2 linked regions of the Xenopus tropicalis genome follow. The protein of the gene in region 2 interacts with the protein of the main gene of each other region in a biochemical or structural test. Links are inferred from orthologs where the notes say so. Each region holds a gene or a part of one and is shown on either strand. Other genes may lie near its edges.

Region 1 (3,821 bases), about 13 Mb from region 2:
AGTAGGTCAGTTACACAGGCCACTCCAATCAAACTAAACCTTAGCCAAGGGAATCTACTGTGCTGATAGTTTGGAACATTTTTATACCAAATCAAAGATTAGATCTGATAGAGAACTGTGCAACAGAGATTCGGGTCTGGATCAAGATGTAGATCCAAGTAGCAAGGTACACATTGCCTATATACTTGTTTAACAAATCTCCCTCTAGTTATAAAATAATTCCAAAAGGTTTATCATGTAAGTGGAGCGAAATAAATTTACCTACACTATATAAATAATTTATATTTTGTTTCTTGGAAATCACAATTACAGCAAGCAGGTGGGTGCCATTATGTGGGCATTGTTATTAAGGTAAGCTTTGTATCATCACCAAATCATGTGTATGTGCCAAAAGTGGCACCAATGCCTATGCACTGGCTACACAATTAAACAGAGTAGGGAAGGAAGGGGGAAAAGAGGGGTGCAGTGACAACTAGGAAGTGCAGAATGGAAAGCAAAAGCAATTGTCTGCACTGCATAAAGGCGGGGCCCAGCAATATTTGATTGACAGCTCAGATTTTCAAATATATTCATAACAGGTATGAATGTTTTGATAAAGAAATTATTTTTATTAAGAAATGATTTGTTTATTTTGCAAAGAACTGTTATTATACAGCATTTATGTCTGGGTGACAGGTCCCCTTTACATGTTCCTCTTACAAATTGTTCAGTACAATGGTATAGCTTTGCTGCAGAGCTTTACCGTAAACAAAGACAAAGTTGGGGGTTTAGCCTGAAGGAAGAGTGTGAGCTTTAATTAAAAAAAAAAAGGTTGTGACTACTTAGAAGAGTACAATGGCATCTTATTCAAAGCTGAAACTGCAAGGTTAATCTGTAACTCCCTCATATGAGAGAAATACTAATTCACCCATTAGTATTAGACAAATGCTAAGGGAAAACAAGAAATGGCAGTAGGGAGTTTCTATACCTGCCTATAGCCTGGGTTTGGGAGAGTTAAAGCATATAAGTGTTTCTAGTAATGATATAATGGAATTAGTTACTTTTAGTCATAGCTAAAGTCACTTGTGTAGCTACAAAGTAGCCACAACTCAGATGTCGCCTGGAGTACCTGTATAAAAGCTGATTATTTGGTAGGATCTGCTCAAGTCTGCTGGTGTTTTTCAGCCTGAAGCACAGAACAGCTGGAGATGGGTTGCTTGTGAAAACCTTAATTATCCCACTTGGAAAAGAAACTGTCATTTCCCCAGTTATCTTTACAATGCATCTGCAAAATATACCAACAATGTTACATTAATACATATTCACATTTCTACTTGCTAAACTAAGCCTTTGGTAGCAGATCCACAAACCATTTTGTTCTCAGACTGCGTTTCCTAGATCCCTACATATATAGAAGCCTAATAACCATTTTACCAGTCAGACAAATAGCAAATGTATGTACAGCAGCTGCCATTCTGTAAACCTTTCCTTATAGCCACCACCAATTATCCGGTATATGGGAAGCATCTCTGATAAGAGACAAAAGTTGCTGCTGGTCTGAGTAGGCAACTTATCAGCCTGTGTATAGAGCCCTTTAGATGGGCCAGCCCAACCTACAGTAGGCAGGTTTAAAAATCCTGTCAGGATAAGGAGAGTATCGGTGTATTGATTTGGTCCTTGTCCGCCGATCTGTACGGCCAATTTAAGTTGTATTTAGATTTCACACAGCAAATTAAAGTGTGAATAGGATAATAGTGTGGCCCTCATGTAGTGCCTTTAATTTCTGGCCAAGACATTTGGATGAACTGGAGAATCTCCTAGGAGGCATATATGTTGGGGAGAGGATTTACTAGGCCTCCTGAATACATTAATGTTCTCTTTCTGGTAACCCATACAACAGACATTGCCATCATCAAGTGTTCACATGCTTGTAATATGATACTAAGGGAAACTGCACCACATAACTTTCAATAATATTATCAGCAATTCTAAACAGAGGCTAGTAGTGTTCATACCCTAAATATCCACTGCAATAGCCTCTGGTGAAACACAGATCTGCAAGGAGAACACTTACTTTGTGGGATCTGCTCCTCGGAAGTAGGCATTCACTGACTCTGAAAGAGCAACAGCAACTGGCAATGTGTCTTGGTTCCCAAGGGTGACTGGGCTGGGGCCTCGGGATATGCCTAGAACACAAGGGTAATTAGGTTAATTGGGATGCATGGGAATATAAACATGCTATTTGTCAGTTTGTCCAATCTATTTACCAAATAAAGATATGTTCCATGGGAAATGGTTACATAAATGTATATATATCTACAATTATAATTAAGAGGCATAATGGATGGGTAGGCAGCTGGTTCCTTTACAAGATAACCTGTGTTACCCTTTCCAAGGCTACAGACATGCTAATTGTGGCATCTGGATGGCTTTACGAGACAAATGGCCCCCCGCAATAGCATAAACCACAGTCCATGTGTGAGTAACTAACAAACAGACATGCCTCATTTACTTCCAGCCGCCTGCAACGTAAGCACATCATTAGAAAGCTGTGGGACACAAAACATTGGATTGGTCTCACCCTGACACTTTTCAAATACCCAGCACCTTTACAGAGAATGAAAACATTTACATGGAGAAACACCAAGGAATGAACTATAGTAATGTTTCCTAAAAGGAACATGAATGTTCTAGCACTATTGACACACATGTGCTACAGATTAGCATGGACTCATGATCATCATTAAAGCTAAAATCTAAAGCTAAATAAGATGGCTGTTCGGTACAGGTTTAGGTCAGTTTGTCAGTTGGGTAGGTTTACACTTATTTAATGATCCTTTCAGACAAAGGGTAAGAGATTAAGCATCTTATTATAAGTATGTATCTACATTTTCTGCCATAAAGCAAGGTCAGACTGCTGTTTATTGGCCAAGAGGAAGCAGAGACAGTCACGAGTAGCATGAAATATACACAAATAAGCCAAAAAGTGACTATATATGACATCTGCAGTGATGACAACTTACCAAAGGTGGGAGTATTTGCTGCACTTATAGAAGCGGAAGATGATATTGAGGAGGAGCTCTCAGCGCGAGGCAAGGAGGCTGAGGGAGGAGGACTGGTGTTCGACGTCAATGGAGGGCTGAATGGCCGTGGCTTAAAACAAAACAAAGAACACATCTGAATGTACAAATGAAACGTATAAAGTAATGGCCCAAAGGATAATTAAGTCCCTTTGCACATCTAGTAAAAAAAACTAGCATTCTTTAAATCTTTGTCTAGTGGGTCTCTCTTTTGTTTCTCTAAATCTGTTACTAATTCAGATTTTACTTTTCCCTATGCCCTTGAGCAGAGCTGATCAACTGGAGGCCCATGGTCTAGATGTCACAATCTTTGAGAGTTTTTGTTGGCCCCCAGACTGCTTACAGGGGTAGTTCACCATTATCCCTTGGTATGTTTTAGCAAGTCATATTCTTAGCAAACTGATATTTTTATAGTTCTTTAATGATATGCTTTTCTCTTCTGACTCTCCATCTTTCAAATGGGTGGGTGGGTGGGTGGGTAGGTAGGTGGGTTGGGGTCAATTCTTATTTTTCTACAGTCTCTCAAACCACTGCTAGCGTAAACTGATCTGTAGCCACCAGAGAGTTGCTAAAACATGAAGACCAAATGCAAATTGTCTCAGAATCTGCAGTATAATAAAAGTTGATTTAAAGGCAAACGGACCCTTAAAGTCCTGTTCCCCAAGCATGTATTACAGTGAATAAGAAGCATGTCCCATGGGCAAATTTGACACCCGCAGTACAAGAGATTTATCGGGGGTGACTAATCTTCATGTGGGACAT
Region 2 (4,583 bases):
GTGCCCTCTTCTTAAAGTTGCCAGGAGCGGCTTTTTGCCACCCCTGGTAACTGGGGCGCTTCTGCCGCCTGAGGCGAGTTTCTCAACTCGCCTAATGGCAGAAGCGCCCCTTTCTGCCCCTAATTGCAAAATGGCTGCTACTGGCAACTGCCCCGGCGCACTTTATCTCCTTTGTAAATCAAGTCCATTTCTGTACAGAGCTACAGCCTATGCCAGCGATATATAAATAAAGGCTAATTCTACACTGCAACAAGTGAGGATGATAAATACCCAGTGCTGTTACAATCACCGAATAAACAGTTAGGGTGAAGACACGCGGAGCTACTAGCAGCAGCTACTTGTCACGGCTACAGAAATTGACAATGTTGATCATTTACTGATAACTGTCTCTACGTGTGTTTTAGCAGAGGCAATTCTCAGTATTGTCTATGGCAGGGGATTTTCTGAAGTCTAGTATTCATGAAAAAGTAGCTGCTACTAGTAGCTCCGTGTGTCTTCACCCTTAAACTGGCCATACATACACCGATACTATCGTACAAAACCTCGTTTCGTATGATATTCGGTGCCTGTATGTCGACTCGGCGAGGCGACCGATATTGCAGGAGGCTGCTGATATCAGTCGACTTGCCGATCGGGCGAGTTGGAAGATTTTGACCGGGCACCATAGAAGGCGCCTGAACAAAATCTGCCGTCAGGGCTGAATCGGCAGAAGGAGGTAGAAATCCTATTGTTTCTACCTCCATATCTGATGATTCAGCCCTGAATGTCAGTGGAGGGTTGGAACGATCTTTTGTGTGACCGATGGCTTTAGGGTGAAGACATACAGAGCTACTAGTAGCAGCTACTTGTCACAGCTACTAAACACCAGAGAATCCCCTGCCATAGACAATACTGAGAATTGCCTCTGCTAAAACACACGTAGACCCAAATATCAGTAAATGATCAGCATTGTCAGTTTCTGTAGCTGTGACAAGTAGCTGCTACTAGTAGCTCCGTGTGTCTTCGCCCTTAGGGGCAGATTTAGCAAAATGTGAGTCTGCATCTTAATACATAAAAACTCACTCATGTTCTAGTTATTCCTATGGGATATTTAGATGCCTATCTATCAAATGGAGAATTCTAACATTCACCCACTGATAAATACTCTTCTAAAGATCCCACAGGAATGACTAGAACATGGGGAGTTTGTATTAATCTGCAGACTCACATTTAGATAACGAGTTGGACATGGGGGACACTGGGATTTAATGCCCCCTTTCATTCTTCAGGACAGCCCTGCCAGTTGTACAGCAGCATTTCAGCAATACCCCCCCCCCCTCCCATAGGTGCCACAAGGGGCAAGTAAAATGCTTATGTTTCCCTCCCCTTACAGAGCAGCCAGCACCCTTTCGTTTCCAGGTAGAAATGGACGGACGGAGGAATGTGCTTCCTGTGATGCCGACGGTGCGGCTCTGAGGCAGGGCAGTGCGACCAATTGCCAGTCGCTGCTGCCTTGGTGGGGGCAAAGGAATGGTTAAAGCGAGTCGGGGTGGGGGAGTAGCCGAGGCATCAGGCACATCCAGCACATTCCTGGGCGCACTGAGCTGCCAGCAGCATCTGATTAGCGGCACACACAGTATCGGCGGGGCGGCGGGCAGGGGCTGAGCTAAGGCGGCCGGAGGAGGAGGAGGAACAGCGGCAGCAGGGGAGGAAGGAGCAGCAGCAGCGACAGCGACTGACAGCCGCACATCCCAGCAGCCAGGGGCGATTAGCAGCACTGTGAGTAATGAGCCTCTTCTTCCCTCACTGGGGCACAGCTGCCTGAGTACTGCGCTACCGGGGGCAAATCTCTCACACACAGGGGCAAATGTCTCACACACACAGGGGCAAATCTCTCACACACAGGGGCAAATCTCTCACACACAGGGGCAAATGTCTCACACACACAGGGGCAAATCTCTCACACACAGGGGCAAATCTCTCACACACAGGGGCAAATCTCTCACACACAGGGGCAAATCTCTCACACACACAGGGGCAAATCTCTCACACACACAGGGGCAAATCTCTCACACACAGGGGCAAATCTCTCACACACAGGGGCAAATCTCTCACACACACAGGGGCAAATCTCTCACACACACAGGGGCAAATCTCTCACACACACAGGGGCAAATCTCTCACACACAGGGGCAGATCTCTCACACACAGGGGCAGATCTCTCACACACAGGGGCAAATCTCTCACACACACAGGGGCAAATCTCTCACACACACAGGGGCAGATCTCTCACACACACAGGGGCAAATCTCTCACACACACAGGGGCAAATCTCTCACACACACAGGGGCAAATCTCTTACACACAGGGGCAAGGAGCTGGCATGGAAAGGGTCTGGGGCAATGAGAAATGAGTGCAAGGGGGATTTAAAAAGAATTAGAGAGCTAGGGATACAGAGAGAGGCAGACAGGGAGAGACAGTGGCTAAGGTGTGGGTTGCACTACTCCCAAGGGGGTTACACTCATTCCAATGAATTAAAGGGGCCGCATATAATGTGTTTGTGCTTGGGGGGGGGACTCATATAAAAAGGTGAAGGGGTTAAAAGCTTTTGGGAGTCAGTGATTGGGATCTGACACTTGTGGACAGTCACAGGTTGCCTGCCCCAGAGGTAGGGACATTATAACTGAGACATTATGAGGGACATTATAACTGCTACCTCCTGGCAAGTCAGCAAAGTGGCTGTAACTCTATGGGCCCCATTGGCTCCTGGGTTCCTGTACAGCAATATTTGACCCAGAGTCACAAGTGGGTGTCATAGGGGCACTTACAGACAGCTGTGGCTGAGCGTTGTAGTCCAACCGTGGCTAAAGGGCCAGGGGTCAGACGTCCCTAAGGCAAAGTGTGAGTAAGAAACAGAAGGTGCAACTGTAGATGAGCAAGGGAGCCAGCCATTCATTCCCCTTCATTCAACCACTATTCTCCTCACCCAGGCACCTCTCTCTTCCTATCCCTCTCTCTTCCTATCCCTCTCTCTCTCTTCCTATCCCTCTCTCTTCCTATCCCTCTCTCTCTCTCTTCCTATCCCTCTCTCTCTCTCTTCCTATGCCTCTCTCTCTCTCTCTTCCTATCCCTCTCTCTCTCTCTCTTCCTATGCCTCTCTCTCTCTCTCTTCCTATCCCTCTCTCTTCCTATCCCTCTCTCTTCCTATCCCTCTCTCTTCTCTTCTTATCCCTCTCTCTTCTCTTCTTATCCCTCTCTCTTCCTATCCCTCTCTCTTCCTATCCCTCTCTCTTCCTATCCCTCTCTCTTCCTATCCCTCTCTCTTCTCTTCTTATCCCTCTCTCTTCTTATCCCTCTCTCTTCCTATCCCTCTCTCTTCCTATCCCTCTCTCTTCCTATCCCTCTCTCTTCTCTTCTTATCCCTCTCTCTTCTTATCCCTCTCTCTTCCTATCCCTCTCTCTTCCTATCCCTCTCTCTTCCTATCCCTCTCTCTTCTCTTCTTATCCCTCTCTCTTCTTATCCCTCTCTCTTCCTATCCCTCTCTCTTCCTATCCCTCTCTCTTCCTATCCCTCTCTCTTCTCTTCTTATCCCTCTCTCTTCTTATCCCTCTCTCTTCCTATCCCTCTCTCTTCCTATCCCTCTCTCTTCCTATCCCTCTCTCTTCCTATCCATCTCTCTTCTCTTCTTATCCCTCTCTCTTCTTATCCCTCTCTCTTCCTATCCCTCTCTCTTCCTATCCCCCTCTCTTCCTATCCCTCTCTCTTCCTATTCCCCTCTTTCTCTTTGTCTCTGCCAGTGCCTCTGTCTCTTTCTCCGTCGCTGTGCTGCAGTTGTTTGGTTACCATGACTCACTGGAAGGTTTAACATTGCTTCCAAAATAATCCCTTCTCCCATGATTTCCCACAAAGCTCCCTTTCCCTTCTCTCCTGTACTAATCCAGTCCCCCCCTGCATTCCTCTATAGCTCCGATCTAAAAATAAGGGGCCAGAGAGGAAGCAGTTATATAAGCTGTGGAGTCCGGCCGCAGCCCATACCATGCAGAACGGGGGGCACCCTGCACAGATCTGCCCTGTCTGGGCTGCTGCAAGTCATTTCCCCTTTGTTTGAATAGGGAAAGGAAATCCCTTAGTCTCACTCTGCACACAGAGGCATTTACTGGGAGGGGGGATAATATTCATTTTTAAAACCTTTTAGGCAGCGCATTCAGCTTATATAGTATGTTCTGATTCTATTACTAAATAGACATTGGATCCACACCCCCTTAGGCTATATTTGCCTTTTAATTGCCCAGTTTATTGGATAAACTCCTAATTAAAGGGAAAATGTACTCTGCTTCTTTCTTGCAAAAGGCTATGCATTTATTGTGCACATTGAATGCCCATTCTCTGCGTATTTGCCTTTGTACATACTGTATGAGAGCAGATGCCATACTGCTTTTCTAATAGTTATGCATGACCTGCTTGTGGCCACTAGGGGCGCTGTTGCTATTGATGCCTAGAGTGTAGCCATATAGCAAAACTTATTTAGCAATGCAATTATTTTTAGGAGAACCCATATACACAGTAAGCTACAGAGCTTTATTTAGGGACTCAAATAGAGGTG

Evidence for each region.
Region 1: the proteins of dab2 (region 2) and fcho2 form a complex in vitro, tested with the Homo sapiens proteins (2 studies listed by BioGRID). The link is inferred for Xenopus tropicalis from reciprocal best matches to the Homo sapiens genes DAB2 and FCHO2.

What each region holds. Positions count from the first base shown.
Region 1 is NC_030677.2:183,060,558-183,064,378, reverse strand, and holds part of fcho2 (F-BAR domain only protein 2), read right to left. Parts: intron 3,133-3,821; coding exon 3,003-3,132; intron 2,166-3,002; coding exon 2,054-2,165; intron 1,265-2,053; coding exon 1,109-1,264; intron 1-1,108. UniProt on the Homo sapiens protein: Functions in an early step of clathrin-mediated endocytosis. Has both a membrane binding/bending activity and the ability to recruit proteins essential to the formation of functional clathrin-coated pits.
Region 2 is NC_030677.2:196,524,443-196,529,025, forward strand, and holds the start of dab2 (disabled homolog 2), read left to right. Parts: upstream 1-1,591; 5' UTR 1,592-1,758; intron 1,759-4,583. UniProt on the Homo sapiens protein: Adapter protein that functions as a clathrin-associated sorting protein (CLASP) required for clathrin-mediated endocytosis of selected cargo proteins.